Lonchura striata: one gene and its partner. Each later gene encodes a partner of the first gene's protein in a complex. Links are inferred from orthologs where the notes say so. Each region holds a gene or a part of one and is shown on either strand. Other genes may lie near its edges. The genes, in order: RGS9 and RGS9BP.

The links.
Region 2: RGS9 (region 1) and RGS9BP share a complex: the UniProt entries of both Homo sapiens proteins name them as parts of the RGS9-1-Gbeta5 complex. The link is inferred for Lonchura striata from reciprocal best matches to the Homo sapiens genes RGS9 and RGS9BP.

Annotation. Positions count from the first base shown.
Region 1 is NC_134621.1:9,421,164-9,436,866, forward strand, and holds the start of RGS9 (regulator of G-protein signaling 9), read right to left. Parts: upstream 7,381-15,703; 5' UTR 7,300-7,380; coding exon 7,237-7,299; intron 1,075-7,236; coding exon 978-1,074; intron 1-977. Other genes in the region: GNA13 (guanine nucleotide-binding protein subunit alpha-13), read left to right, coding at 14,652-14,934. UniProt on the Homo sapiens protein: Inhibits signal transduction by increasing the GTPase activity of G protein alpha subunits thereby driving them into their inactive GDP-bound form. Binds to GNAT1. Involved in phototransduction; key element in the recovery phase of visual transduction.
Region 2 is NC_134615.1:7,700,471-7,716,370, reverse strand, and holds RGS9BP (regulator of G-protein signaling 9-binding protein), read left to right. Parts: upstream 1-8,083; 5' UTR 8,084-8,199; coding exon 8,200-8,913; 3' UTR 8,914-12,118; downstream 12,119-15,900. UniProt on the Homo sapiens protein: Regulator of G protein-coupled receptor (GPCR) signaling in phototransduction. Participates in the recovery phase of visual transduction via its interaction with RGS9-1 isoform.

The DNA of each region.
Region 1 (15,703 bases):
TGTGTCCAAGTTCTCCTGACCCTTCCACTGACGGGCTCTTCCCATGGGCAAGTGACTTCAGTGCCTCTGCAGCCTCATTTTATACAAAAGATTTGGGGCAAACAACGCACTGGGCCAACCAGGCTTTGCAAACACAGTTGGGGAAATTCTCTCGACTTGCCTGGAGCAAACTCACTGGTTTCAGTGGGAGTTTTTGTTCTGAATTTCAGAGTGCTGAAGGAAGATGGAAGCAGGAGGAGGAAACTTGGGTATGGAGTATGTGTGAATATTTATAGCAGAGGATTCCTCACAAGAGCTTTTGTGGAGGTTTGGAGAACAGGGAAGCAGAGGCACTGATAGTGCCTGGTGAAAGGAGTAGCAGGCACAAGGAGGCTGTGATAAGAGCTGCCTGTAACACTGCACATGACACAGCACAGCTCCTGTCTGCTGCTCCTCCAGCCTCCTTGAGGGAGGCAAAGCTGTCATTTACAGGCACAGAAGTGGGTTGAATATTTTATTCTTTTCCCGCCTACTCAAGAAAAATTATTACTAGCAGTAAACATTAAAAGGAAGACTAATTGTTAATTGCTCATTTCTGAAGTACCATCTTTCAGTCTGCCTCCAGGCTGCTTGTTTTAATTGGATTTTAATATTTATCTTTATTTGTGATCCAGCCTCACTGGGAGCACGAGAGGTCTGGAGGCTGCAGCATGTCCTCACCTCTGTGCTAAGAGAAGGCAAGGTCACTTGAGTTAACCCCCATGAGACAGCTGAAAGTGCCTGGGGATCAACCTTCGTGTCTGGCTCGAAGAGTAGGAATGAAATGAGAGTGAGAATGAGATCAAGGGAGCAGGTACATCTCAAATGATGTACAGCTGGTATTTATTGGGAACAAAGCTCCAGCACGTAGCCAGGCACTGGCAGCCCTGGCCAGGGGCCCACACACAGATTTTCTCTGCTGAACTGGGCCCAGTCCCTTCCCCCAGGGAAGCTCTTACCTGTCACAGCGTGGGGGATGCTGGTGATCGTCACTGTCTGTGTTTGTGTCTTGATTCCTGTGTCTGGGTTCTGCATCTCCATCATGAGAGCTTCAATCTGCAAAGCAGGGGATGGGATGGGCTGGGTGTCAGGAGCGGGCAGCAGGGGAGCCAGCACTCCAGGGGTGGGCACTGGTGTGCCACAGCCATGCATGCAGTGGCCACAGCCCCCTCTGAACCTCCCCTGGCACCAGAGGTGCCACCTGCAGCCCATGGCAGCTCACACTGCCACTGGACACACACCCAGCCAGGACTGGCACAGGAGGGACAGGATGGAACCACTCCATGAGAGCTAAGGAAAAAGAAATAAATAAAATCTCTGCTACCCAGACCCCACTACACCGAGAAAGGTTCTTCTCTGGCTCACTGGGCACTTAGAACGAAAAGTGGGGAGGGAATAAAATCTGTGCTTCTGTTAGGAGGTGCAAAGGAGGTGTTGACCATTCCTGTGCAGGGCTGCACTCCCCCAGCCAGGTCTCAGCCCCTCCAGGGATGGGGAAGGCACATCTTCCTCTCTGGCAGCATCTCCCCCCTGGGATTCCTCAGGGATCCTCCTGACTTATTTTTAACAGAGAATGAGTCTCACACTTGGGGTCAGACAACTTTTATTTCTCATTCCCAATTATCCTTATTTCTTTTTAAAAGATAAATATTTTCCAAGGTATTTTCCTCCTCTTTGACTTCCTACCAGCACCATTCCCAAAACACAAAGCACTGCTTTCACTTGGGATCTGTGCTCAGATGGATGGAGCTGGGGCACACTCCTCTTGTCCTCAATTTTGATTATCTGAGTGCCATGGGAGCTTTGGGGAAGATGTTCTTCTTTTTGTCTTCTGCTTCCAGGGATATTAAATCAAAACTGGTCCAACAGGACCAATTTGGTCTCTCCACACATTTGGTTTGGGTGAGGCTGTAGCTTTTTAACTGAGAGTGGAGGATTTAACGAGTGTGAGTTGATGACACACACACATAATGGAGGGTATTGTCTTCCCAGGCACCACAGTGACTTTGGTCCCAAGTCTTGCCAAGTTCTGTGAGGATTTAAGCTGTAGTGACAGGATACACTGTGGGCTTGTCAGTAAAACTGGATTTTCAACTGCTTTTAAAAGCACTGACAAATTAATGCTAAATGGAGAAGCCTGGTAAAATTTAACATAAATATTTGTATAAATACTTATGAAATATTTTTAAAATATAAAAAACCAGACCAGAAGTGATGGAATATGAAGGCGTTTTTTAGGTCTTTTAACAGAATTCACAATTTCTGTCAGAATCTGAGGTATTGATGATTCTGAGATTGCAGAAAGTCTCTGTCTGTCAGCCCCCTGCCAAAGCAGAAGCCAGAATTGGTCTGTGCTGGTTTCCAGGTTGTTTATTCTGTTGATCTCTCACATGTTCTGCTGCCCTGCCCAGCTCTGTCCTGCAGGGCAGCGTGTGGGGCTCTGCCCTCAGTGGGATGTGACAAACATTAAATACCAGAAACTCCCTGGGCTGCATTGACAAGAACGTGCCAATATCTGTCACCTACGTTGGACAGTGTGTCCCCAGCCTGAACCAACAGAAAAATGCCAACACCACAGTGAGACATGGAGGGCATGAAGAAGGAGAAAAAGGACAAGGCACACCCAATTTCCTCCATCTTGTCCCCTTTAGACCCCTAATACAGAATCCTAAAATTTTACTTTTGCACCCGTGCCACACTTAATTATTACTTCTATCAAACCCTCAGAGCTGGTAATTCACCCTGTAAGATTGAAAACTCTTTTCCATGGACAGAGATCACAGCCAGTGTCTCTGGGGGCTCTGTCCAGGGGGTTCCTGACCCTGCCAGGGTCCCAGGGCAGCCAGAGGGAAGCTCTGGGTTCCCACAGTTTCAGCCTCAGAAGAAAGTTCAGCTGTGTGGGATGAGGTAGGATGGTCCAGCAGGCAGGGCACTCTTTAGGAAACTGGGGTTCTAAGCAAACCCAGGTACCTTGGGAAGTCACTCCCTGTGACTGCACAGTCCCTTCACAGAGAGCAGAGATCCTGGGGGCAAACACAGCCCTGCTCACCCCCCTGTCCCTGTGCAGTGACCACCTGGCAGATCCCAGCAGGATCTGTGCTCCAGGCAGGCAGCACAGCACATCCTGCTGCAGCACGCAGCTGCTGCTCTCCAGGTGGGCTCAAGAGACACATCTTCAACAGCTGAGAGCAGGGAACTGGCTCAGAACCCCCACAGCCCCCAGCACAGCCTGTTCCCATCTTTAACCAGCAACTCGTCAACTCTCATGGTGTTCACACTCTGCCACACTCCCTCTTGTCACTGGAGAAATGACAAATACATTAAAAAGCAAGGAGCTGCTCTTTGGGGTGCCTAGCTCTGCAAACCATCCACCTTGCTGATCAAACCTCAGCCTGTCTGTGCCTCTTCTCCCAAGGGAACAGTGGATTACAGGATCAGGAGCTGCTATCAGCACCAGGCTGCCAGAGGGAGGCCAGGAGGGCTGCTTCAGACACAGCAGGAACACTGCCTTGCTTTGCTGAGGGCTCTAGTCCATTTTGTCATGCTTTCAGCCAGGAAAGAGCTGTCTGGTTTGAATTTTGCAGAGCCAGAAGCCACTTCCTGACTGGTTGATGGGTGGAGATGCACACAGAGGTAAATATCAGGAGTGCTGAAGGAGCCAGGCTCCAGGGAGAGTTCATCTCATGCACACAGACACCACAAGGCAGGAGCCCCCTGGAGATTTCCCCTCAGATCAGCTGGAATCTCTGCCTGAACTCACCCTGAAAGCCACAGAGGAGACAACAGGAAAACTGTCTGTCCCCTCTCTGATTGTATGAAGTCACAGGGTTCAGCTCACTGAGTGCAAAGCACAACTCAAAATCCTATAAAAGGAGAAAAACCATCACTGGATTTTAGGAGCCTGTGGGAAGCCCCAGGGAGAGGAAAATGGCCACCAATTGATGGTGGCTGGCTCTGGAGAAGGAGGATTGATGTTTTCCTGTAGCATGGAGCAGTGGGGGCAGAAGTCTGCTGATGGATTGCTTGGCTGAGTTACCCTGGGTGCAGGTCCCATCCCTGTCATCCTGAGCTTTATCCTTTGGGCACCCACCAGCTCCCCAGGATCAGGGCATCCACAACGCAGAAAAAACAAACTCCACATGCTGAGACTCAGAAATGCACCAGCAAATCACTGCCAAGGTGAGAAGCTCAGCCCTTCTCAGCATCAACCCAGACAGAGGCATCTTTGCTTCAGACATAAGAAAGATCCATTTTCCCAGCAGGAATTTCCAGTTCCCAGCTGAGTGCACAGTCCTGGTGCTATAATTCAACATCTGCTGCTTTCTCCATCCTATTTGCCTGGCTTAGCCCCCCTCAGTGCCTGCTGCTGTTTGCAAGGATCAGCCCTACCTGCTCTGATTTCCAAGGTAACAATACAGTCCTTATCCTCACTCTGGCCTCTGAAGGCTCATTCAATTGTTTTCTAGGTCTACAACTACCAATCTGGCTTTGCACGTTGATGGATGATCAGAAAAAAAGAAGAAATGAAAAAAACCCATTGTTAACCAGCTAAAACTTCCTGCTTTTTCTTAATTAAAGCTGAGGGGAAGTGGCTTGTTCCCACTGAGTGATGCCTCAGCTAAAGGAAATAAATCTGTGAGTGGGGAGGGTAGGGCTATAGCTGGCTTTTCCCAGTCTGGAGGATTTTTTCCAAAGAAAGATGTGGCACTGGCATCTCCCAGCCTGGAACAAGGAAATGGAGGATGGGATGAGGCTGTGCTTGGCCTAAGGCTCAGCTTCAGCCTCAAAGATCAGGAGTCTGCTGAATTCCAGCAAAAAACACAATTCAGCTGCTCACACGCTTCTGGAAATGCCCAGGAAGATGAGGCCCGGCAGCTGCTGGAAAGTCTAAGCCTGGAGAAGCAAAGCCAGGCTGGAAAAGCCCCCAGCTATGCTGCAGACCCTGGAACAGCCCCTCCCTGGCTGCTGCACAGCTTGGGAGAAGCCACCAGGGACCAGAGTGAGGAGGAGGCAGAGGAAGAAGGCATCCATCAGCTCTACCCACAAGGTGTGAGTCACGGTGCAGCTCGTGCAGCACAGCAAGGAACAATTCCCAGCCCAGGAGCTCCTGGAGAGCACAGCCCAGCTCTGCCAGCTGATGCCCAGCACAGCCAGATCTGGCTGCTGGAGCAGGCACAGGCACCGAGAGCTTGAGTTCATTGAAACTCTGGCAGCATCCAGCCAAGATGCATTTCAGAGACTTGCTTGCTGGCCCAACAGACTTTTGGGTCATTCTTCTTCCAGCCAAGATGGTTTAGAAAGGGGAAAAAAACAGAATAAAACAACATAAGTGCTAGCATGATGAGCAGGTGCTGCAGGGCTCTGGGGGCCTCTGATCCCCTCCCAGTTCAGCCACAGAGACCAAGCTGCACGTCCAGCCCGAGCCACCCAGAGCAGCCTCACAGCAAGAACAGGGCACTGCCCCCCACCCCAACAGCAACCCCCTGGCCTTTCCCTGTGTCCCTTGGCAGGATTGCTGCTGTGGTCAGCAGCTTCCTGCTGCAGAGGCAGCACAGCTGGCAGCTGCCAGGGCCCACGGGGCCCACGGGCTGGCAGCATGGCAGGAATCCCTCCCTGCAGCTGCAGCAGCCCAGGCACAGCGCGTGTCAGCTGGCGGCAAAGCGTGAGCACAGGCTTAAGCAATTAACAAAGCTTCTTTCCAGGATTTTAGCTCCTCATGGGTTAAGCTAAGCCTGTAAGGTGCTCGCTGAGCATCCTCAGCTCCTGCCGTGGGCATCCAGTAAAGGAGCCTGGTGTTTCCAGGCAGCTCTGAGGATGTGGATGCCTGCACACTGCCATGGAACAGCTGAGGCTCCAAACACGGCTTCTCCAAGGTCTGGAAAAACAGAGCAGGAATGAAAGTGGAGATGAGAGTCAAGGGCTTTCACTGACCACCAGGAGCTTCCCTTCCTGCTGCTAAGAGGTCCCAGACTTGCAAAGCACAGGAGCTGAGCCCCCCTGGCTGCTCACAGTGTGAGTGGTGCACATTCTGTAAAGCCATTCGCTGTGTTTTGACTGATCTTCCCACCTGAGGAACTCGGAGCACTTTGCAGAGACTGCTGCACTCCCACGGAGCAGCTGAAGCACAGCTGCAGGCAGTTGTTTTCTCAAAGCACACAGCTTCTCCTCTGCACCCCCGCACACAACTCCACCGAGTATTACTCAGTACAGAATTTGGCCTGGAGTATTTCCCTTGGCAGGGCTCCCCAGCCAAATTTACCCTGCAAGACATAGCACCAAAGAAAATACCCTCTTTACTTCCTCTGGTGTAGTAAGTACTGCCAGGCTTGTATATCCCCAAATTCCCCTCCCTTTACCCCTGGAATCCTCCTTAGGTTGTGGGCATTGAGGAAAGCTAACTACAGTTCAAACAGCAACTTGCTTGTCACTGGAAATTCAGTTAATTCCATCCAACAGGATAAGCCACACTCAGGAGAGGTGGGTGGGAGAAAAGCTAGCTTAACACGCTGCTTTTTAAAATCTGCATATACCAGCTACACTACAACTGGCTATGTTTTGAATGAATGCTACAGAAAAAGCCCACCAAATGCTGCACAAAACTACGCATTACACCCAAAAGCGTGGGCATACATCATCCCACTCCTTCTACTGCTTCTGGCCACAAATATGCTCGTGTCTGAAAAACTGGAAGGAGGCAGAGAGCAGGCAGTTGGCTGCAATACACGCTCTGAATGTGGACATGAGCTGAAAGCACTGGGAACACACTGGAGCCACTGGAGCAGAGCTACACTGAGTGGCCTGGCATTGCAGATGGGCTTTTCCCTGGGAGCTGATGCGGATTTGAGGGACTTTGAAAAAAATAATGGAAGGTGTCAGGGCAACCATTCAGCTGAGATAAGCTACAAATAATAAATAACATTACAGTCCTATTTGCTCCATCACTCCAGCACAGCTGCTCCTCCAGCCTGCCCCCCGAACCAGCTGGGACCCACGGCGCTCTGCAACAGGTCATGGCTCCAAACTCCCGGCGAGGGGCTGTCACCCCTCGGACCCACACGCCCAGAGGTGCCCCGGGGAGCCGTGGCCGGGCAGGATGCTGTGAACACACATCACTCGGAGCACCGCCTGCGCTGCCCTGCGCATCGCATCGCCCCGCCCGGCCGCGGCCCCGGCGTGCCCATTAATGGTGCGGCTGTCCCCGCGCTGCGGAGCCCTCACCTTTTTCAGGAAGGCCATCCGCGGGCGGTAGCGCTGGCCCTGGTCGAGCCGTGTGACGGTCATGGTGGCGGTGCGGTGCGGTGCGGTGCGAGCAGAGCGGCCCCGCCGGGCGCACCTGGCTGCCCGCACCGACACCCGCCGGGGGCGGCGCCACCGCTGCGCGCCGCAGCCAATCAGCACCCGCCGCCCCGCGCTCATTTGCATGAAGGCGTGAGGCGGCCGCTTGGGGGCGCTCGTGGGAGAGCGCGGAGGGGCTGGGATGGAATGGCAATGGGATGGAATGGAATGGAATGGAATGGAATGGAATGGAATGGAATGGAATGGAATGGAATGGAATGGAACGGAATATGATGGGATGGGATGGGATGGGATGGGATGGGATGGGATGGGATGGGATGGGATGGGATGGAACAGAATATGATGGGATGGAATGGGATGGAATGGAATGGAATGGAATGGAATGGAATGAATGGAATGGAACGGAATATGATGGGATGGGATGGGATGGGATGGGATGGAATGGAACAGAATATGATGGAATGGAATGGAATGGAATGGAATGGAATGGAACGGAATGGAATGGAATGGAATGGAATGGAATGGAATGGAATGAATGGAATGGAACGGAATATGATGGGATGGGATGGAATGGAATGGAATGGAATGGAATGGAATGGAATGGAATGGAATGGGGTGGGACAGGACGGAATGGAATGGAATGGAATGGAATGGAATGGAATGGAATGGAATGGAGTGAAATGGAATGGGACAAAACAGAATGGGATGGGATGGAATGAAGGGCCAGGCTCTTGGCCTGGGTTTGGAGCAGGCACAGAAAGCGATGGAGGCTGACTGTCCATGAAGCACTGCCCGGGCAGCACTGCAGGGGTGATCTGTGGTCGCAGCATCCCGCTCAGCCACGGCTCCCCAGGGCGCGTAGGGCCCAAGGAATGACAGCCCCATCCCCCCAAGTTCCTGTTGCAGAGCCCTATAGACCCCAGCTGGCTCCAGGGGTCAGGCATGTGCTGAAGTGATGGAGAAAATAAAGGTATAAGATCATTCTGGAATTTATGAAGTCATGTAAAACAAGCTGAGGCCAAGGTGCTGTGGCTGAGTGCTGTGTGTGTATGAGGGCTGGGCAGTGTTTTGGGCACATGTCCCTTGAATGCCACCAGCCTTGGACAGCTCAGCTGTGAATGCAGGAGCCAGACAGGCAGTTTGAGGAGTTGGTGGCTTTTTCTCATGGGGAAATCGTGATGAAGAGTGACCAGAGGAAGACCATGTGGTTAGAGTTCTTCCTCACAGTGCAACTGCCTCATGCCATGGGGTGGCAGGGGGGGAACAGTACCTCACTGGCAGGACTGGAAACCAAGAGCTCCAGCAAGATTTTGCCTGGTTCCTCCAGAAACTGGCAGAGTTTCTTCTGCTGCCCCCAGCTCAGCTGCCAACAGCTGGACAGGAGGAGAGTCTGAGTCCTCACTCACACAGAATCTGATTGTGCCAGGGCTTGGATGATGCATTCCCAGGAATTCTTGCCAGCCAAAAGGCACAGCTCCTTGTGTGAGTACGTTCCTGCACACCCCAGAGAACAGCCACACGGGAGTGTGTGCTCACACCTGTGTGTGCCCAGAGTGCCACCTGTACACGTCCTGAGCAGGCACTCACACCTCTCTCTCCGTGGGCTGATCCCACCCAACACTGCTGGCATTCTCCCTGTGCACCCAGGGCACACAGGAGCAGATGATACAGGCACATTTATACCCCCACATTTATACCCCATCACACACCTCACATCCACATTGCCATGCCACATGGGGAGCACTCGCACTCCCCACACATGTGCAGCTGTTTCTCAGGGCAGTGCCTTCCCTAGCATGGTGTTTGTGACTGCTCTGGATTTAGGCTCTGTGGTTCTCACACTTGAGGGGAGCAGGCTGGCTCTGAGCTCGGAGCAGAGTTTTTCCATGAACAGCAATGCCCTGAAGGCACAGGCTGCTTTCCCAATTGCTTTGCTGCCCTTGTGGCAGTGTTTTATCTTTAGCTCTGTTCTTTCATAGCATGCAGATGAGCCAGTACTTTGGAAGGCCTTTCCCCTGTGTCTGCTCAACCATTCCCATGTGGAATTCCCCTGTAAGTCACAGCTGGATCAGACACTCTGCTCTACAAAGATGATGAGCAACTTCTGTCATTCCACACTGGTACCCAAGTTATCCTGCCTCATGCTTCAAGGCATCAGGTGATGGCCAAAAGGAGCAGGAGTGGAGCTCTTCATGTTTGCAGTGTCTCATAATTGAGGGTCTGAAGTGCTTTTTTGTTCTGCCAAACCAAACTCAGATCCTGGTGCCCCTCTGAAAGGCCAAGGGTGACAAACTCAGCAGCACAGATGGTCCTGGAGGCAAAAAGGAGGAGAAAGGGAGTTCAGAGGGGAGCTAGAAAGTAAGAGAAAGCACAGCAAAGGTATGCAGGCATTTTGATGATGCTAGTGAGCTAGAGTGCTTCCATCTCTTAGAGAGACAGATAGTGGCAGGAGTATCTGCAAGGAATTCTTTGGGAGATAACATCAGAGTAAGGAGCACATAAAAAGATGTGGCTCATTTTCTTGGTCTTTTAGGCAAAATAGGAAAACTTGTTACAGTCTACAATGCTTCCTCTGAACCATTTGCACTTTAAAACCAAACAACTTGGTCTGTTACACAAGTGATGGTAAAAGGACTCAGAAAAATTCCAGGTGTGGTGCTAACACTGGCCTAAGTAAAGGATCAACTACCAACAACTTCCTATGTCCCACATAATTAAAGGAATAAAACCATTTCACCTCAAAATGCTGACTTTAACAGTTTCACTGAAGAATATAGGTGTCTTAGTCATGAGAAACATTTGAAATGTGGGTCTTAAGTGAGTTCAAAAATAAAATGGTCTTGCAGGAGATCCAGGAAAAATAGCTCTGAGAAGCTCACGCTGAGTTGTGAGCTCTTCAGCCTCACTGAGCTCCAAAGAGTCTGATAATTTTAAATCCTTCCGATCCCCCAAACACCCCCTCACAGGTCAGGTGTGGCGTTTTTTCTATTTCTAGTCTTCTCTGACAAGCTATGATGAAGCTTATGGATATTCCTGTATTTTAAAGCTAGTTTGTGTAATTTCCACAACATGTCCAAGGTAAATTCAGCTTTATTAACATCTGTGAGTGACCCACAGCACCAAACACAGATGAGTTGATATTTCACCTGTGCCCAGGTGAACCGTCCCAGCAGTTAATGCTCTTGGGCAGATCTGCCACATGAAGCACGAGGCATTTAAATCAGATTATAGAGGCTTGTCTAGGGCAGACACTCCTGGGCCTCTAATCACGAAACCCACACTTGTAGAAAGCAAAGAATTCTCCAGTCCTTGATGCAGCCTGGCTGGCATATTTGTTGGTCAAGAAAACAAGGGACTTGAACAACAACAAGAGTGGTGGAGAGCACTGGCAGCAGTCATAAAGGAGATTCCCTCCAGATTTCTGACTCCCTACGTTCACCCTGGCCTTTCTGCCCCCCAGATAATGCAGAAATACATTATCTGGGGAGTGCCCTTAACCTCCTGTTTTGTATAGTAAATGCAGTGGTATTTATGTAGCTGCAAGTTTCCATGGGTGTTCTACCCCACACAGGGTAAAAGCTGCTATAGTGGAAATACCCTTGTGGTCATCACATCCCATCACATCACATCATCACATCACATCACATCACATCAATCACATCACATCAAATCACAGGGCAATGGTGAGTGTCCATGGGCTCTCCAGAGCCCACAGATCCCTGCCAGCCTCTCACACAGAGTGTGTCCAGGCTGGGAAAAGTTCTGCTGAAAGCCGGATTTTATCCCTCTGGTCTCCTTGTGCAGCCCCACAAGCTGTGATTGCTCTCAACAGACTGGCTCTCAATTCTCCAGAGTTTCTCTTGTGGAAAGCACTGCCAAGGGAATCCCCCCCTGACTTTAAAAGGTCACATTTCCTACGTGGTTGCCCCTTTTTCACACATCAGAAAGTTGAATCATCCAACACAAAAGGCATGTGGTGAGTAAGCTACCTTTCTATGTAAGGAAGCTGGGGACGCCCTGAGGGGAAGGAAGGGGTAACAGTAAGTGAAACAAGTGGCAGGTGGGGGCTTGGTTTTAGCACTTGGTTCCTTCCAGGAAGATTTCAAAGCAGTTTGCTCAAAAAAAAAAAAAAAAAAAAAAAAAAAAAAAAAAAAAAAAAAAATTGTGCAAACTGTGGCATAGAGAGAGGAGTGACTTGAGCTCAGCTCTGCCAGCAAGGCAATGGTTAAAGGAATATCCCCAGAGTCCATTGTCCTGCCTGGTGGGGCACAAGCACTCAAAATGAGAAGTTTCCTTAGCAGCCTCATGGGAAGAGCTGCTGGGGCAAACGGGCAGCATTTGTTTCCCGTCGTTCCTGGGCTTTCCAGGAAAGCTAAGGAAAGAAGTGGCAAAGAGGAAGGAAAAAAGCCAAGCAGAGCAAGACCTTATGCACCCTGCCTTAGAGATGGAGCCTGGCTGCTGGGGTGGGAGGATGCAGCTGGCTTCACAGTGACCTGGGTGGTGCGGAGCCCTCTCCAGGGAACACGGTCAGGCAGGGCAGGAACAGCCCCTCCCTGGCTGGGAGCCAGGCTGCTGTGCCAGCGCACGGAGTGGGGGTTTGGAGAGCTCCCCACGTGAAGGGGAGAGCAACGGGGAGGTCAAGGACTCCCCAGCACTCAAGTGGCTCGATTGGAGAAACTCAGGAGTCCTCTGCAGCTAGGGAGGTAAGATGAGAGTTGAGACAAATATCTTAAAACTTCATTTTAAAACTGAGACCAGAGCTCAGGAATGACTGGCTTCCACATCTGTACCAAGAGTAACAGGACGTGCTCCTTGTATTAATTTTGTACCACATCCTGTTCTCCTACAAGAAATGCCTTTTTTTTTTTTTTTTTTTTTTTTTTTCTGGTAAGCCCCTTTGAAATAATTCCCATACAGTTTTATCTCCATGTGGGACCAACCTAAGGAGAGAACACTGATGCGCTTTTCAGATTTTGAAGGTCCTTCCAGCTGAGGCCAAGTAACATTTCCTTGTTCTAAACTCACCTCACAGTTTCACATTTATCTTTCCCTTTTTCTAAGTTATTATTAATGTTGGGGGGAAAAGCAGAAAAAGATTAAGAGGAAATTTCAGCAGATATCAAAGACTAGGAGATGTAAGGAGAGACAAATGTTTAATGCAATCTTTGCACTACTGATGGTAGTTAAAGTTAATTTATTAAAACAAATTACTAAGCTGTGCTTAGGGCTGTGTTGAATGAAGTGTGGGATTTTCAGTCCGTGAGATTTTCAGTCCTTGCAGGTCCCTCAGCCTAAGATTTGTTCTACTCCTCACATGAAGGATTGCCATTGAAAATAAATCTTTGCTCCTTTTAACTCGGGATCAGCTAGAGTCCCACTCTCTTTTGCTCACTGTGCCTCGGGAGAGGTTGGACCCAGGCTGTTTGTTCAGCTCGGTGCTGCAACCCTGCAGCACTGGGAAGCTCTTCTCAGCCAGGCAGTGAGGAAGGACATGCCAATTTTTCAAATGTTTTAACAAAACAGCTCTCTTTCTGCAGCAAAAAGAAAACCTGCTTAGCTGGCAAGCACCATCCTGCCCCCCTGACTGAGGGCTGACCTCCCTGGGCCGCTTGCCCAGCAGCTTCCCTGCATCCACGGGGTCGGGTGAGCCTGGGGCTCCTTTCCATGGAACCTCAGAATCCCAGATTTGTTAAAGCTGGAAGGGACCTCCTAAGATCATCCAGCCCAACCCCACTGCCTAAGCAGAGTCATCCAGGAACACGTCCAGGTGTGTTTGGAACATCTCCTGAGAGGGAGGAGACTCCACAATCTCTCTGGGCAGCTGTTGCAAGCCTCTGCCTCCTCCGTGGAAAGTAGTTCTTCCTCATGTTGAGGTGGAACTTCTTGTGTTTTAGTTTACAGCCATTGCTCCTCATCCTGTCACAGGGTACCACTGAAGAGTCTGGGACCATCCTCTTGGCATTCCCCTTGGAGATATTTATATGTATTGATGAGATGTCCTCTCAGTCTTCTCTCCTAAACATACCCATGAGGAGCCAGGGACAAGGACAGGGACAGGGACAGGAGTGGCTGTGTCAGTTCCTGTGTCCAGTTCTGGGCCCCTCAGTTCAGGAAGAAGATTGAAGGGCTGGAGCGTGTCTGGAGAAGGGAATGGAGCTGGGAAGGGGCTGGAGAACCAAGAGCTGCTGAGGGAACTCAGGGGGCTCAGCCTGGAGAACAGAAGGTTCAGGGGGAACCTTCTCACTCTGTAACTCCCAACAGGAGGGTGCAGCCAGGTGAGGGTCAGGCTCTGCTCCAGGGAACAAGGGAACAACCTCAAGCTGCTCCAGGGGAGGATGGGGTTAGATATTATGGAAAAATTCTTCACAGAAAGGGTAATTAGACATTGGAATGGACTGCCCAGAGATGTGGTGGAGACACCCTGGAGGTGCTGAAAGACTGGATATGGCAATTGGTGCCATAGTCCAGTTGACAGAGGTGATTTGTCACAGATTGGGCTGGATGATCTCAGTGATCTTTTCTAACCTAATTGATTCTGTGTTTCTATGATTTAGTCTCTTCTGCCTGCCTGCAGTGAGAGGATGGGTGCACATGGCCTCAAGGTGGGAGATTCATTAGATTAGGAAAAAAAAAGTTATGGTTAGGGTGGTCTGGCAATTGAAAGGGCTCCCAGGAAAGTGGTAGAGTCACCATCCCTGAAAGTGCTTGAGAAACATCCAGACCTGGTGCTGAGTGATGTGTTTTTATGGATGCTGGGTGGGTGGTTGGACTGGATCTTAAAGGTCTCTTCCAAACCTTTATGACTCCATGAAGCCCACCTTAAATTTATTTTCCATTACAAAGCACATTAAAATTATGATCATGTGCATCTATAAACCTTTAAGTCCATTACACAGCAGCACCCTGTGCCTGAATGTTCTTTCACTGTGTTTCCTCGCGAGCAGCCTGGCACCTGCCAGGAGGCACAGCCTGGATCTCCTCCAGGAACGGCGCTGAAAAATCGCGATTTCAAGCTCCACTTCAAGGCGACTCGGGGGCTTTCTTGAGGAGAAGGCGGTGTTTTACAGGTGAATTGCCAGTCTGGCTACGAGGATCTCAGGGCGCTGGGAAGGGCAGTGAGGCAGCCGGCGCAGGAGCAGGCCCGCTCCTGAGGGTCCCTCCCGCCATTTCCTGTGAGGGGCCGGAGGGGGCGGGGCCGGCGCGGGGGGCGGGCCCGCGCTCGTCACGCGCCGGGCGGGAGCGTGCAGGCGGGCGCGGCGCGGCGCGCAGGCGCGGTGCGGGGCGCGCGCGGCGCGGGCGGCGGGCGGGCGCTCCCCTGGCTGGCAGCGCTCGCTAAGATGGCGGATTTCCTGCCGTCCCGCTCCGCGCTGGCCGGCTGCTTCCCCGGCTGCCTCCTCACCAGCGGCGAGGCCGAGCAGCAGCGCAAGTCCAAGGAGATCGACAAGTGCCTCAACCGCGAGAAGACCTACGTGAAGCGCCTCGTCAAGATCCTGCTGCTGGGCGCGGGCGAGAGCGGCAAGTCCACCTTCCTCAAGCAGATGCGGATCATCCACGGGCAGGACTGGGACCGCGCGGCGCGCGAGGAGTTCCGCGCCACCATCTACAGCAACGTGATCAAGGGTGGGTGAGGGCGGCGGGGACGGGCGCCCTGCGAGCGCCGGGCCCGGCCGGGCCGGGGCGGGGAGAGGCGGCTCGGGCGGGTCCGCGGCCGCCGCCGCCTGCCGCGCTGTCCCGGCGCCGCGGCCGTGCCCCGGGGCCGGCCCGCGGCGGTGTCACCGCGCCGCCCGCTGCGGCCCGCGGGGCGGCTCCGGCCCCGGGAGCTGCCCGCTTGGCCCTCGGTGCTGCGCTGGAGCGAGGCCAGAGAAGGGCAGCGGAGCTGGGGAAGGGGCTGGAGCACAAGGGGGGGGCTCAGCCTGAAGAACAGGGCGCTCAGGGGTGATCTTATCGCTCTCTACAACCGCTGGAGGGATGTGGTAGCCAGGTGGGGTTCGGGCTCTGTTCCCAGAGAACTAGAGATAGGACGAGGGGACAGTGTGAAGCTGCACCGGAGGAGCTTTATGCTGGACGTTCGGAAGAATTTCTTCCATTGAGACAATGGGCTACCCAGGGGGGTGATGGAGTCACTGTCGTTGGAAGTGTTTAAGGCTGGACGTGGCACTTAATGGCAAGTCTGGTTGACAGGGTGGTATTCGGTCATAGGTTGGACTGAATGATCTCAGAGGTCTTTTCCGATCTAATTGATTCCGTGATTCTGTGATTTCCTGGTAATGCGAGTGCTCTAATGAGCGGTAATGGATGGGGGGAAGATGCACCTGGAAGTGCATGAGGAGGAGCCCAGCCCTTTGCTTTCAGCGTTTTGCTGCAGTGGAAATCGCTGCTCGGCTGACAC
Region 2 (15,900 bases), on another chromosome or scaffold:
ATCTCTGCTGATCCACGCAACAGCGGGGCTGAGACACACCTCCACGGGCAGGACTAGTTAGCTGCAGAAAACCCTGCCTGAACACCTGGCTAGGCCACAATTCCAAGTAAGTCATAATGACAGCAGCTTGCAGTCCAAACATGATTCAGTGACAAATTAGTATATATAACTAAAAACAATTTAGTGTAAGTCAAGCACCAAGCAGGGCTGTAAGAACATATACATGTAACCTGCAAAATAATTTGCCACAGCAAGACTTGAGAGTCCTACATGTTTTGTTTTGTTTTTTTTTTATGGCTTTGGATGTTCCTGTCCTCATCACAGCAGATAAACTGACTGGAGCAGAGACTGAAGTAAGAAAGGAAAAGGAGCCCTGTAAGCAGAATCCAATCCATGGAAGGCAGTGATGTTTATAACCAAGAAACTGCATGAAGCAGGCAATGATTTTTTTTTTCCCCACAGGTGGATCAAGCTTTCAGTCAAGGGCATTTTTTCCCACATCTAAGAAGTAGGCCTTAACTGAAGAAAACAGGCTCAGGTTACAGGTCAGGAACACTTTCCAAAAGGAACAGGAAGCACATGGTTTAGATTGCTTGGCACAGCTATCAAATCTCTCATGTTGTAAATCTCCAAGAACGTGTCAGACAAACCTCCACTAGAAGTGACAGTGGACATAGCAAAGCTGGGAGGGTGGATGACATGGTCTTTTGAGACACTTTCCAGATCAAGATTTCATTAATGCAGTTGTCCCACTGAGGCAGTTTCATCTGCCTTGAGTTTGGTGAATTCATGTATCTGTCCAAGCAGCAGAGGATCTGACTGCTGAGATCTTCCCCAAGACAGCGATGGAGAAGCTGTTAACACACCACACACTGTCAGGGTGAAAAAGCACATTGACACAAGGAGGCAACCAAGCATCAGACTGTAGTGCTAAAACTGCAGAGCACAAATGTCTCCAACAGCTTTATTGCCAGTCTTTCAGCTTAATGAATCTTCAAGTCCAAAAACTTCTTTCCATAACAGGAGGGGAAGATAACACATATCATAAATCCTCCTCATAAAAAAAAAAAAACAAAAAAAAAAAAAAACAAAAAAAAAAAAACCACAACCAACTGAAATTTAAAGTAACACTTCATTCCCTGGCATAAAAGGTATAAAAAATTTATCTGAGGAGGAGGGAGGAGAAGCTCCCACAGAAAGCTTGCTGTCTGTCTGACAGACCTCTTAAAATACTATCTGCACCTGAAAAAACAGTATGAGCAATTGGAGTATTTTAAGAATCATTACTGATGGACCATCATAGGGAGCACTTGAAAGTATAATCTTCAGTGTCCAGTTCATGAGTTACACACCACAAGTAACTATGTGCAGCCACACATTCTTAGCTGCAGCTACTGATTCTTTCACTGCAAAACTGATAGGGCTGAATCACAGTGGGAACGCCAGCAAGGAGTGAAAATAAACTGCATTCAGACATTGAATCCTGGTATTTCAGTTACTGTAATGCACCTAAGGTGCCACAGAGGTGCTCCACCCCAGGAAGGAAGGTAAATTTCTAGTTCACACGGGTGTTTGTCACCCTCCCTGAGCACAGCAGATGGGAGCTCTGCATGGCTCCCCAAATGCATGTTCCTGCACAGCAGGAAACAACCCCCACTGGCCACACTGGTACTGTTTTGAGAATCACAACTCTCAATTTCCTTCCCTTTCCCTCTCCCTTACCCCTGCAGCTGTTCAGTGTCTCGTTAGGCATTAGGTATCACATCTGATTAAAAGGAAGACATGAGAAACAACAGGTGGAATACTTATTACCTAAAACAGTTTAGCTACTGCATTCACTTAGCTCTCCATCACTTTCCCATAGCATTCTCCAGAGCACTAGAAGTGTGGATGTAGAAGCAATTTAAGTTATCAAAAAAAAAAACAAACCAAAGGAATTTAGTCTACAGATTCTAGAGAAGACATTAAAGCTTCCCCAAAGCTCAGGCATTTTTGAGATTAAGTCAATTTCTTTCCACCCCAGAAGTTAAATGCATCTGAAAATATTGGCTAATACATTGCTATAATTCTAGGGACACATTAGAATTCTCCATTAAGAGTCTGTTGGCAGAACACAACATCCAGCTTCAACCTAATTTAACTTGGGGGTGACACAGACTTGTTCTTCTAGCTGCACCTTGGACAGCTTTAGCTTGTAAAGCTTTAGCTTTACAGTGAAAACAGAAAATGCACAAAGCCTTATATACATTACCACAACTGATTAATGCCTAACAGAATGCTCATTAAAAACTATCATCAGCTATATTCACTATGAAGTTTACCAAATTCTATCATGCTTAGCAGTAAAGCAATTCTCAAGCACTAATGTTATGTAAAAGGTTTAAACATAATCACTTCAGTGTATGGCTTCATGCCTGTAAACACAAAAATAGCTCAAATTGCTGGAAGAACAGAAGCTAGCTGGATCAGACAATCTAATAAGCATTATGTTACAGTTTAAAAAAAAACAAAAAACTATATTCATAATCTTACAACAGACTAATCCTGTCTATATCAAAAGCAGAGTGATAATTCTAACAATATAACTATGGTACAAAGGACAGCTCAAGTGAAAAACATGGAACCTAAGCATGTCACTGTTTTCTGTAAGACACTGGAAACAAGGCCTAATTACAATTGGTAGTGAAAACAGTGAATAGGAATAAATCCTGACAGTTCATTTTCTCATTGATGGCATTTTCCTTTAGAGATGGACAAATGAGGAACCTTTTCCACAGCTTGCAGGTTTCAGTTCCTTTTAGGAAATACTTTGAAATTTGGACAAACAGCCATGAAAGTGCATGATGACATTGCATTTGCATTGTTACTTAGCAGTTACCTCCTGTCCACATTCAACTTGTACAACTACTTACTCAAACCTTAGCCTCATCATCTTCTGAACATCCTGCTACATCTCTACTAAAGACTAATCAAAACATTCTGCAGAGAAAACATCTTTCAGAACATCATGAGAGATGGTGTATACAAACACTACATAGTCAATGCTGAGCAGCATAACATTCTGTGTTTTCACCATGGCATTTTAATAATAATTTAGCAGAACAAAGTAAAAACAGCTACCAAAGTCAGTAAAAATTATTAGCCAAGTTCAGTAACCTCAGTTGTCTCCAGGATGGCAAGTTAGAATGTTACACTGGGATACTAACAGCAATTACCTCAGTGTGCTCCCCACACAAATCCAGCTTCAAGGGAGCAGAATGCCAAGTTCCCCAAATCCTTCAGCACCAGATCCATTAGCGTGACAAGAAGCATAAATTCACTCAATTTTATTTTACCAATATTGTCAAGTTTCATGGGATAATATCAGCTTCACTTTAGCTCCCAATAGCTACAACAGGAACACTAAGGCTTAGTAACCTGATATTTGCTGAAGTGCTCAAAATAATAAGTGAGGAACACCTCATTACTCAACTAAAGGATTTTTATCTCAGAGTACCAGATAAATACACATACAAACTTTATCAGAAATGTATCATTCTAGCAAACTGCACAGCTCCACACACAAAAAAAAAAAGTAAAAGGAAGCAATTCTAAGTTAAGGGGCTTTTTTTAATAGGTGTGCTTTCTGCACACACCTTAAGAGCACCACTTGTTAGGAGGAACAGCCAAAGGTAAGCATATCTTAGAGCTCTTTACAAGCAAACAGGAATCTAACAGTGGAATTTAAACAGACTCAGTCCAAAATCTCAAGTTACCACTCCAGTTCTTGTTTTACAGCACTATTACTCATTGGTTACTCTGCTTCTGGGCAAAAGTTACAATCTGAACTTTAGCCCTACATCAGAACTCACTTCAAAGTAAAAACAGAAGATTATTTCTTTTTCTGAGCATTTAAAAACTCTAAAGGATGAGTGTTGAGCATCCTATGAAAAACACCTGACATATTCCAGTACACCTCACTCACCATGAGGGAATAAATAAGTACATCTATTACTACCCCTTCTAGATTCAGATTCACCTTGTACTGACTTCTGTGAAATGGAAGTATGCAAGAGTAGCACCTTGAATTATCAGATTATAGAGTGGTGAGTGGTAAATTCACATCAGTCAGCTCAAGGCTTACAAGCAACCAGTAAAAAACTAAGCTTTACCATCCCAGAACATCAGCCTGACAGCAATAGAACAGAGTCTGGGGTCATGATCACTCCAGGAAGATACTAATTTCTCTCAGCATCTCCCTTCCAGGCACACATTTCTTCCAATGAAGGGTTAAGGGCTGACACAAAATCTCACGGCTTGGGTTTTGCCTCTACCCAACACCTCCCAAGCCTTTTCCAAGCCTGGCAGCTCTGGCCCTGCTACCATTGCTCCATATCCTTGGACAGGCATCCCCCAGAGCCTGCAGCAGTAGTGAGCACACAGGGCTGTACCAGATCTTTGTGCAGCTTCTTATGAGCCCCACCTCCAACTCCAGAGCTCAGCTCACTCAGGAGAAATGGTGAGAAGGTTCACCTTTTATATTTTAGCAGTGCATTTACACTATTGTTTGATGTGAGCACATCCTTACATGTCCTAGACTTGGGGGCTTGAGTCTCCCCCATCACTTGTTCCTTTCCTCCAGAGGAAGCACATTTCCATACATGTGGATCCTTCAACAGCCAAGCTTCCCACCTCTACCCAGTTACTTCAACATATTCAAACACATCTTGCTTGTCATCAGCCAAGCATCAGGAACAAACTGCATTCTCTTTTCACAACCGGGTAGACACAAGATTTCCAATTCTCACAGGTTTAGAAATCCACCAGAATGGCTTCAAAGAAGTTTCACTCCTTGGCTTGCCACTACTGAAGCTGCATTACACTCTCTGATGGGCAGCCCTGAGTTACTCCAAGCAAGCCCCCAGAAAGTGTAAGTGCTGTTCAGTGAACCATCGACAGTTACAAGGAACATTTAGAGGGAGACCATTAACAGCAAACACAAAGTTCCCACAACAGCTTCTCAACAGCATCAAACAAGGATGCTTCCTTCAAATACCAGGGAGCTGTATTTAAGGTCACCTCCCCCTCAGGCTCTCAGAGGTTTCTGCACTTTGGTACTTCACACCCCTTCTTTGGAGGGGAGCAGGGGGTTAAAATTCTTACGGAGTTGAAATACACAGAGGTTTCCTGAAGCCAAATCTTTTCATTCATTTAGGCAGCAGCGCAAGGGTAAGAAGGCTGGAAAACAATTCAGCAGGTAAGCTCTAAGGCAAAATAAATTATTTTAACTACTACTGGTGTTACAATTACCACCCAATGCAACATGTAACAGCCAAAACTAATTAAGAGCTTTCTGGAAGTAAACATCATGATACAGAAATATCAGTCTAATATTCCCCTACAATATAAATTTAGATTCTTCCTATGGATTAAATGCTCTCACCACTACATACAAGCAAAAACCAAATCACAGAAGTCAAAGAATTCACAATTTATCAGTGATCAGGGAGAGGGAAGGAGTTGATGTCACATTTCAGTTTCACTGTATTTCATCCTTACTTCTTCATCTCTTAGTGGCTTCAAACTTTGCCAAGCCATAGCAGTGTACAGACCAAACTTAGTACATGAGCTTACTCTAAAAGCAAGTCCCTCAGACAAGGCTTACCAATTATTAAAGCAAAACAAAACTGCATTTGCCTATATGCTACTTTAAAGTATTAAAATGAGGCTATAACATTTAATTAGTGATGTTCAAGATACATCATAGAATACTTTGCAAACACTGTTAAGAGTACTGCACAGGAAGAATACAATCGTTAACATCTACTGCAAGAAAGTCTTGCCACAGAACCAGGAAATATATTTTTTCTACTACTCTTTATGCTGCTTCCTAAGTCAGTTCTAAGGATTTTTACCTCCATCCTAATAGTTTTCCCAGGACAGTATTTTGGCTAGACAGCATCTTGTTTGAAAGCAGTATCAAGATATGAATTTTCACAACATCGTACCTGACTGACAAACAACTGAATTTTAAGAGTTCCCATAATCTAAGCAAGTTGTATAACTGCATGCAGCTGAACTTAAATTAGAAGTAATCTAAATAACAGGCTCTTCCCATACGACACACCTAAAGATGTATTTAGGCATTACCTGATACAGATTATGATTGCTGCTACCTTCAGGTTTAAATAGTCACACTTCTGAATCGATCCTCCCTACCTCTCCTTCCCAGACACATTTGCAGAAGTGGTTTCTAGATTCTCGCATAACTTCAGTACTCTGTGGCAAAATTTAAAAATAGCTAAAACAGACACACAAATATGCATAATTTAGTCAGCAATAAGCTTAACACTTATGTCACATAGTACTCCAGCTTCAAACCCAGAGCTAATCCTTTTTCCACCTGACAATGATTAGGCAATTACAAGACTTCACTTACAATCAGATCAAAATCATCCTGTGTTTCTTTATTCCTACAAAGAAACAGGCATGACTGATTTGCTTCTTCTAGGCTACCAACATGCAAATTAACAGAGCTACTCATCTTAGCTGGCAGTAATTTGATAACCTACACAAAGTTAAGAGACCATTTCTTCCACAGGTAGCAAGCAGCCTGCAGCAGAAGCTGCACAGGTTTTGGAACTAGGGCCAAAAAGCAAGATAAAACATAAACAAAAAAAACCCGGTCAGTGGAGTCCAAGCTACCAAAATCTAGAAAGAGGAACATAGGCTAGACAAGACTCTTCAAGCTGGGCTCAGCAGCAGAAAGCCAGTCTGCCTGGACTCTGTTCCTCTTAGTAAATTATCTTGCTCATAACACACACTGCCCTGCAAAGGCAGTGATAAAAGATAAGAGAATGGGTCACGCTCCTCTTGTGGGACTCCTGTGGCTTCACAGCTTTTTCAGGCTACTGTAGCATCACAAAAACCACTCAGCTCCCCACAAACGCTGGGCCATGAGTGGTAGTGTATGTTGTGACAAGCAAGCTCTCCAGAAGCCCACTTCAGCAGAAACACCAGGTGCTAGAGGCAGCAGAGCTCAGGTCACCGAGCGGCACTCGCATCACCTCCATCCCGCTGGCCGCACACACGAGCACGGCCTGGTGCCCGTCGGCGCTCACGTGCTGTACCCAGCACCGTGCCGAGGGCAGCCGCTGGAGCACGGCTTCTGACAGCGTGTTTCCTGCCCTCCTGATGTGCCACGGCCTGACTGAGCCAAGTGCGGGTGCCCCGGCCCGCACGCCGGCCCTTCCTCCGGGTGACAGCAGCAGCGAGCTCCCTCCCCAGCCGGGTGCCGGCGCGTCTGAACACACGGGACAGCCGGGCCCGGGCAAGCCCGACCCGCCACGCATCGTGGCGTTCACTGGGGCGAGGAGCGGCCCGGCCGCGGTCCGCACGGCGCGACCCCGCCGAAGGCCGAGCGGGCACGGCCCCGCCGCCGCCCAGGCCGCGCCGAGCGGCCCCGGGGCACGGCACGGCGGGCCGGGAGCGCTCCCTGCTCCCGCCTCGGCGGGACGGTCCCGGCGGGAGCCGCAGGCTGCCCGGGGCGGGAGCGCCACTCACACCGACACCATCGCCCCCCTGCTCCCCGGCCGCACAGCCGCTGCCGCCCGCCGCTCCGCGCCCCAGCCAAGCCCTACCGGGGTCCAGGGCGGGCCCGGCGCGGCCGCACGAAGCCAATGGCCGGGCAGAGACGGGAGGGAGCGGCGAAGAGCCGGGAGCACCGCGGGATCGCTGCCTGCGGAGGCGGAGCCTGCGAGGGCTTATAGGGCCGGGCCGGGCGCTCCCCCCATGTGACCGCGCGGGCGCCCAGCTGGGGCGAGTCAAGTGGCGGCGGCGGGGACCGCCGGCTGCCCGCCTGCCGCTCCCCAGAGCTTTAGCCTCGGCTTTTTTGATTTCTTTTTTTTTCCTCCTCCATCCTCGGCGCTTGGCACTTTTCAAACAGCAGCGCCCCGCTGAGCGCGGCGCGGACCGAGCCGCCCCGGTGGCGCTGCAGGCGGCGGTGGTGCCGGGAGCGATGCTGCCTGCCCGCCCGGGCTCGCCGCCGCCCGCCCGGGCTCCCGGAGCCGCCTGAGCGGTGCTGGATGCGGGCGCGACCCGGAGGCAGCGCTTGCCATGTGTGCTGGTAGCGCCCGGCTGTGGCAGCGCCCGCGGCCCGGCTCCGGGTAGGTCGGGGCGGCACCGGGCAGGGCGGCTCCGGGCACGGCCCCCGCCGCCACCATGGTGAAGGAGGAGTGCAAGGCGCTGCTGGACGCGCTCAACAAGGTGACCGCCTGCTACCGGCACATGGTGCTGACCATCGGCGGCACCTCGGACTCCCAGAACCTGCGGGAGGAGCTCAAGAAAACCCGGCAGAAAGCTCAGGAGCTGGCGGTGGCCAACAGGAACAAGCTCACCACGGTCCTGAAGGACAAAACCGTGAGTAAGGAAGATAAAGCCGAGTTCGAGAGGCTATGGGTGATTTTCTCCACGTGCCTAGAGATCCTGGAGATCGATATGAGGAGGGCCCTGGAGCTGGGCCACGAGTTCCCGCTGAACGTCCCCAAAAAACACCTGATCCAGACGGGCATGAGCGGGGGAACCTCCGGCGTGGCCGCCCGCGCCATGAGCGTCCAGAACATGAAGTACGAGGCTGAGCACAACATAGACGTGGTGGATTTGAAAGACCTCGAGAACGAGATCAACCAGGTAGGAGAGATGATGTACGAGATGGAGATGAAGGTCAATGTCCCCCAGTGGACAGTAGAGGCTAAGCAAGACCCAGGGGCTGAACTGAAATCCACCATCAGTGTGGGTGCTTCCTCTATTGGCATGATCTCTGTGGAGGAAAATAAATCCTTCTGCGATATCAGCAAGGTTTTAGCTGGGATTATTTTCACTGCTGTGCTCATCATCGCTATTGTCCTGGCGGTGTGTGTGGTAAAACTGTCTTAGGGTGGTGCAAGCTCTGACACGAGCGACCCCTCTCAAGCCTGTCTCTGGAGTGTTTCATGCCTCACCTTCACTTCCAAAGTGTGTCACTTGGATGAGCTGAGAATTTTAAACGAGCACTTGAAAGAACAAAGCAGAACTTTTGCCTCTGAATATTCTAAAATGCACTATTTGTTTCTTCATGCTTTTTGAAGAAAAGAGATGCACAGAATAGAATGTCTTCGTTTACTGGACTTGTAACAGTTAAGAGAAGTATCAGGGTATTATCACTACTGGCTGTAACAGGGATTTGCCTGCTATTAATAGGTCACTATTCTCAGAAGCCTGTGGTTTTTGTTCTTCACTAGCTCTGGTGTTTGCTGCTGGTCACTGTTTACAGTATTGGAGGGTAACATAAATGTGATGGCTAACATGGGTGTTTTGTCTGACCAAATGAATAGAATACTTCTTTTTTTCCATCAAATACAAAATATATTTCTTGAGCAGAGGAAAGGGGTAAGGATGAAAACCCCAATTAAAGAATGTAACCAGCCTCTATTTTAAATAAGTTATGGTTGGGGAGGGGGCAGAAAATGGAACAACGTTTGATACCAAGTACTGTTTGTTAATTTAAACTGGATTGTACAGAACCCAGTTGCATGAATTGGCACAGTGTATGTAAATGACTAATCGCTTTCCAAATCCAAAGAGCAAAAAGGAAAAGTTGCATATTTAGAAAAATACTAGGAAGCCTCATGGTTTTCATTCACGTTTACCACGATGTTATCTTTCCCTGCCTCTGAAGCAGCAATTTGTACTCCGTGATAAACGATGAAAACAGCAGCAATCAATCTACCCACAGCAGATGCAGTAACATGGGAAAATAGATTTTAGCAAAGAGAAATGATGTTAAGTTAAAGCAGACTTTCCCAATGGGATCCCCTCTCCTGTTGACAGGCAGGGACTGATGCTTGTATATGTACAGCCACATTTCTGCAAGCTCCCAAATGGCAGAAATTCAGACAAAGCTAAAAATGTGTCTCAGTTTCATATCTCAGTCATGTCTGATTAATCATCTGGGAAACAGGAAGCCTTTAGGATTGGTCCCATTTGATAACGCTACAAATCTAGAAGGGAAATGCAACAGCATAAAACTTTCAAGTGCTTCCCTGTGGAATTGTCAACATTTAAATATAAAACTGTGGGAACAGACACTTACTTAGCAGAGAAGCTTTACAATGTTTTGTAAAAAGTATTTATGTGTTATAGTATTTATTATTTACTTCTGGAAATACCTTTTAGTGCTGTGAACACACACTGTCCTTTCAGGAATGCTTGGTACATGTGCTACAGTGCCATAGGTGTATGGGGCACTCCACAGCCAAATATAAAGACCCCAAAATGCTGGGAGTTTAAGAAATAATTTTTCTTCATTGATTATTACGGGAACATTATCCAAAGTAATAATCAGACATTTTTTGTGGACAGTCTTCATGCTTGTTAAATAAAATTGACAACATGCATAAACACCTAATATTTTTTAGTATTTTTGAGTTAAGAACTAAACATACTTCAAAAAACTGCAGCAAACAGTTTATTCTTTAAAACTTAACTGGATTTATTGGGAGGGGAAATGTATTTGAATATGGTCACTTGTAGGTGAGGAAAAAAAAATAGTAAGCAGAGGCCTGAATTCAAAGCTATAGATTATCCTTACATTGAAGGATAATGTGAGCTCTGCACATTGGTCCAGTCTAACTCCATTCTCTCAGGAATTCAGAGTGTTTCAAGACAACTCCACATTCCTTTCTGTTGTATTTCACTCATTCCATAGAGTATGTTTTTCATGCAGTTAATCTGTGTCTGTAGAGATCCCTGACAGCTGTCTAACAAAGCCTGGTCTGTATTTATCGGTGCTACAGTTCCAGCCTGCCTAGACAAGGTGTAATTGCTGAGTGTTCATTTAAATTCGATGATCCGCTTCACAATCACAATAAGTAAACATATTTAAGGAAAATACAGTAAAAGCTGCAGAAGACTGTACCTATTTGGATTGCCACCTGTTGTCATTAAGGACCTGTGAATGTTTTCACTTTTTGCATGCTCAGTTCACAGGAGGGTAGAGAAGCCATTGGGCTTTATTCTGTCCTTCCTGAAAACTCCATATACCTTGTGAAATCAGACCATTTAACCACATGTTCTCAAACCCCCAAGTCATGAATGCAAGTCTGTTTTCTGGTGGATACGTAAATGGTAACAATGACCACATTCATTATCTTTTATCTTGGTATCTTCCACATACCTAACCATAGATAAATAGTTTATCCATGCTTAGTGTAGAAGAATTTTTAAGAATAGGTCATCTTTGAAAGCAAGCCTCAGTGGGTTGGTAAATTGTAACTTTTCAGTCCAATACAGTTTTGGGTTTTTATTTGGATTTTTTAATAAATTCAAAGAATTCATATAAATAGCTTCTAAGTATGTAAGTCTTGCTTTATTATGAATATGCACACAATTACTATTTAAAGGATTTGCCTTGGGAAAAGAATTTTCAAATCTTAAGACAAAGCTGGCTGCAAATTCATTCATCATTAGTATGTTCCTAAAAATCTGTATCACCTAATATTTAGGCTATCTAAAATTAATAGATTAAGCAGAATTCTAACAGAGGATTGGCACTGTCTACATGGATAAAGTGCTGCCATTCGTCTCCTACACGTGTTTATTCCATGTGACAGAGTTTGGCACAACACTGCACAAAACCAAAACTAAATGAAACCACCATTGCCCAAAAGTACAGAGGCTTCCTTTAAATTAAGAAATAGAGATACACATTTGTAGTCTTCATTTTTTCCCCCTACTGGAATGCAACTGGAAGGAGACTGGAAGTGCTGCTTTGTAAGTGAAAAATGGGAATTCATACTTCAAAATACTCTGTATTGAAACAGCATGATGAAAAAGCACATACTCTCATGTTGATTGGTGAGAATGTAATTATAGTACAAAAGAAGATGGTCATTGCTTAATTAATATCAGTGTTGATCTACTTCAGCTCTTTTGTCTTTAGTCACAGAATACACATATTAAATTTGCTGTATACTAAAATCTTACTCCTGACTTGAATTACACTGGTTTTGCCTGTGCATGGGTTGTATTTTCTACACTTTGAATAATGCAAACCTGTTACTGTCACTATTTATTTAACTTAAAATAAAGTACTTCCTTATAACTTACTGGTTTGCTTGCAGCAGTAATTTAAACCAAACAAAATCTGCCAGAGCAAGTCCAGAGGAGGCCACAAAGTTGATCAGAGGGATAAAGCACCTCTGCTGCGAGGAAAGGCTGGGAGAATTGGGATTGTTCAGCCTGGAAAAGACAAACTTTGGGGTGACCTAGTTGTGCCCTTCCAGTGCCTGAAGGGAGCCTGCCAGAAAGATGAAGAGAGCCTGTTCACAAGGGATGGAGCCACAAAGGGAAATGGCTTCACACTGACACAGCTGGTTCTGATGAGATACTGGAAGAAATTGTTCCCTGTTAGGATGGTGAGGCCCTGGCACAAGTTGCCCAGAGCAGCTGTGGCTGCCCCATCCCTGGAAATGTTCCAAGGCTAGGTTGGACAGGGCTTGGTACAATCTGGTCTGGTGGAAGGTGTCCCTGCCCATGGCAGGGATTGAAACCAGATGATCTTTAAGGTCTCTTCCAACTCGAACCATTCTATGACTCTTTGAAAAGCTAGAGTATTAATATGGCTTATCTGTAGTAGGCTCTTCTAAGCTAAAGTTCCTGTTTCAAACACAGTAATAAAAGTAATGTGCTAAGCTCTCTTATTTTGTTAGCATTGTTAAACACAGCCCTCTCAAACTCCCAAAATTGAATAGTGATGTAGCATACACTGCCAGGGAAGCCACAGTCTGAAAAGCCAGGAAATATCTGCCTTGGGAAACAGCTACAAACAGGTGATTCTGCCTTCAGCACTGGTGGCAAGTACAGAACCATTGGTTTGGACAACCTGAAAACCAGACTAGACTGGACTAACAATTGGATTCTCCTTGTGTTAGGATCCAAACTCTGCCTCTTTCAGCCAGCAAAGCTGGCATTTACTTTAGTAAAAGATTTACACAATCTAAGGAGTGTGAAACTTAGTCCTGTGGTATTGGTAGCAACAATGATCAACAGTTGTATCAAACCACCAGAACTGAGTCTGTTAAACACAGCAATATGTAATTTCATTCCAGGATTTCCAGCCTATCACCATAAAAACCCATTACACATTTATAGTTTAGGAACACAGGATCGTAATTAATGTGATTCTTCTGGTGTTGCAAACAATGTAACATGAAACTTTAGCACTATAAATATAAAATAAAATTAGTTTCAAAATTCTTCATGTAAGTATGAAAATATTTTTACAGTAATGCAATTATTTAAAACTGGACCAAATAACTGATGTAATTAGCTTTCAGATTAAAAATTAAACATGTGCTTATTGTTCATAGAGAGGATTGGTTACAGGCTTGTTTTTCCTTCTCTGGAAGGTTTGTGTTGTTTGTTTGCTTTCCACAAATACCTTCTATTTAAGTGCTAATGGAATTCCTAGTCAACATATTTACCCTTCACAGATTTTCATTATGTAAAAAGTCATTCAGTAAGACCAGTGGATTACAGATCTCTAAGTGCTTTCTCTCAATACGATTATGTAAGTCTTTTAATGCAGGAAGAGATCTGGACAAAATAGTTCACACGTGAGCAGCATTTGCTACAGTAAGTGTACAATAAAAGTGGGATTAGAAAATAATGTCTTTCATATAAAATTATCCACTTGTTTCAAAAAAAGGAAAGGAGATGGATGTATGTAGAAAATACCAAAGTTTGCTTTTTGTTATATGCAACAGCATCCCAATGCTAAACAACAGCTTCTCTATAAAAGAAGAGAATATCTTACACCCAATGGGACAGAGGATATAAAATATTCCTGAGGGGAACTGACTCTATTCTCTTATTACCTCTTACAGAGTAACAATAAAAATAGTTTGATTTGCTGCATGTTGTTATCCATTTTACAGAAGACAATCCTTGTCTCCCTCGGTTGCACACTACAAGTGACTTTCTCCTGGAAGAAGGCAGTCCCACGTGGCTGGATCCCATCACCCATCCTCACAGCTGGCTGCTGTGGTACTGGGTGCAGCTGGGATGTAGCTTTAGCAGCTGCCACTGCAGAACCTGTGCAAAGGTGAAAAGTCACAGGGCACTGAACCAGCACCAGGGCTCTGGTAGATCCTCTCAGCCAGGCAAGCACGAGTGTTCCATTGCTGGAAGCAATGTGACTGCAAACACAAATCCACAACCCCTCTGAAACTGCCACCCACACAGGCCACTTTCCAAATGCAATGATGTTCATTGCTCACTTCCAGTCATTTGTGAGACTATTTACTGTGATTTACCAGAGTGACAGAAACTGACTTCTCAGCCCTCCACAGGTGGGTTTTTGTTTTGTTCTTTCCTTGAATTGTATGTTTTATTTACACTGTATTGCATGACATTATTTATCATCTACTTAAATCTCCACCAAATTAAACAAATCCTCTGAAAGCTAGGTGTAATTCAGCTGCACAGAAATGGATTGAACAGCTGTGGTATAAATGTGGTCTGTTATCTTGATCATTTCCACTGTGTGTGAAATTGTCACTGGAGTCACTTGACCAGTCAAGTATGTCTCTCACATACAAATGTTGAAATAACACACACAGTTGAACTCACAGATGTGCCACAGCACTGAAAAAACACACAGCGAAAAAAAAATTACTTTAAAAATCATGGGACTTTTGAAATAATAATAAACCTTGTATCTTACAGTCATCTACAATTGTCTTGGGAAAAAAAAAATTAAATGCAATTCCTCTGTGTGATCCAGAAAAATTTATACAAAAATAGCATAAACTTTGGGGAAAAAAAAAAACCACAAGAAAGGGGAAATAAAAAAAAAAAGACAAAAGAAAATACTTAACTATTTATACCATATAAAATGACTGACGACTGCCAGAGACAGCAAACATGATACTCCCTTAGCAACTTAATCTAATGTGCTAATTGCAGGTGTAACTTAAGAGATACACATTTGAATTCTGAGTCCTGGAAGGTGTGCTCCAAATGATTCCTCAAACAAGACACCAGCGCTCAGTCTGGCAAGAAAATACATGTGTGAAAACTAGTCACATAACTAAAAGGTGCAGAATTAGAATAATTTCCACTTCCATAAGACTGTAATCCATTTTGTGTCAGTTGGAAGTAGAACAGTTCCAGTTGTTAATACTATCCGTAACCTAGTTTTCTCATCTGCCTAATTTGTTGGAATATCATTTTGTATGAAGTTAACTGTTTTGTGGTTTTTATTTTTCTTTTTAGTCAATCTATATAATGGTGTTATCATAAACCTGCATTTCCTAGATGTAACATTTATTCACAATTTGGAAATGATACTTGAAAACATATACAGTGAATAATCTATTTACTTTTCATATGAATTATTAAGTCTGCCTATTTGTTGCTATTATACGAGCTAAACAATCTAAAAGCTTTAGCATGTCATTTCGAAGTGACCTGGAGATATTTGACATACCATTTGAAATAGCTGGAGGCAATTAAAAGATGTGTAGATGGGGCACGTGGGGACATGGTTTAGTTGTGGACTTGGCAGTGCTGGGCTCGTGGTTGGACTCAATGATCTTGGGGTTTTTTTCCAACCTAAATAACTCTGAGATTCTACAATACTGTACAATAAGCCAGATCAAGAAGCAGTAGGCAAACCTAGTGAAATCTCTGCATTTTTTGATACTTGCAGTTGTCACAAATTATTATTGTAGACATTGCATCTGCATGGGGACAAAGATGCATCTAAGTTAAACCAAGAACTGACTTAGTATAATCATCTCCAACTCACAGGATACCATGTAAACTAAATGATGAAATATTGGTGGACCTTGTTTTTCATCTGAAATTAATGATTACAGTCGT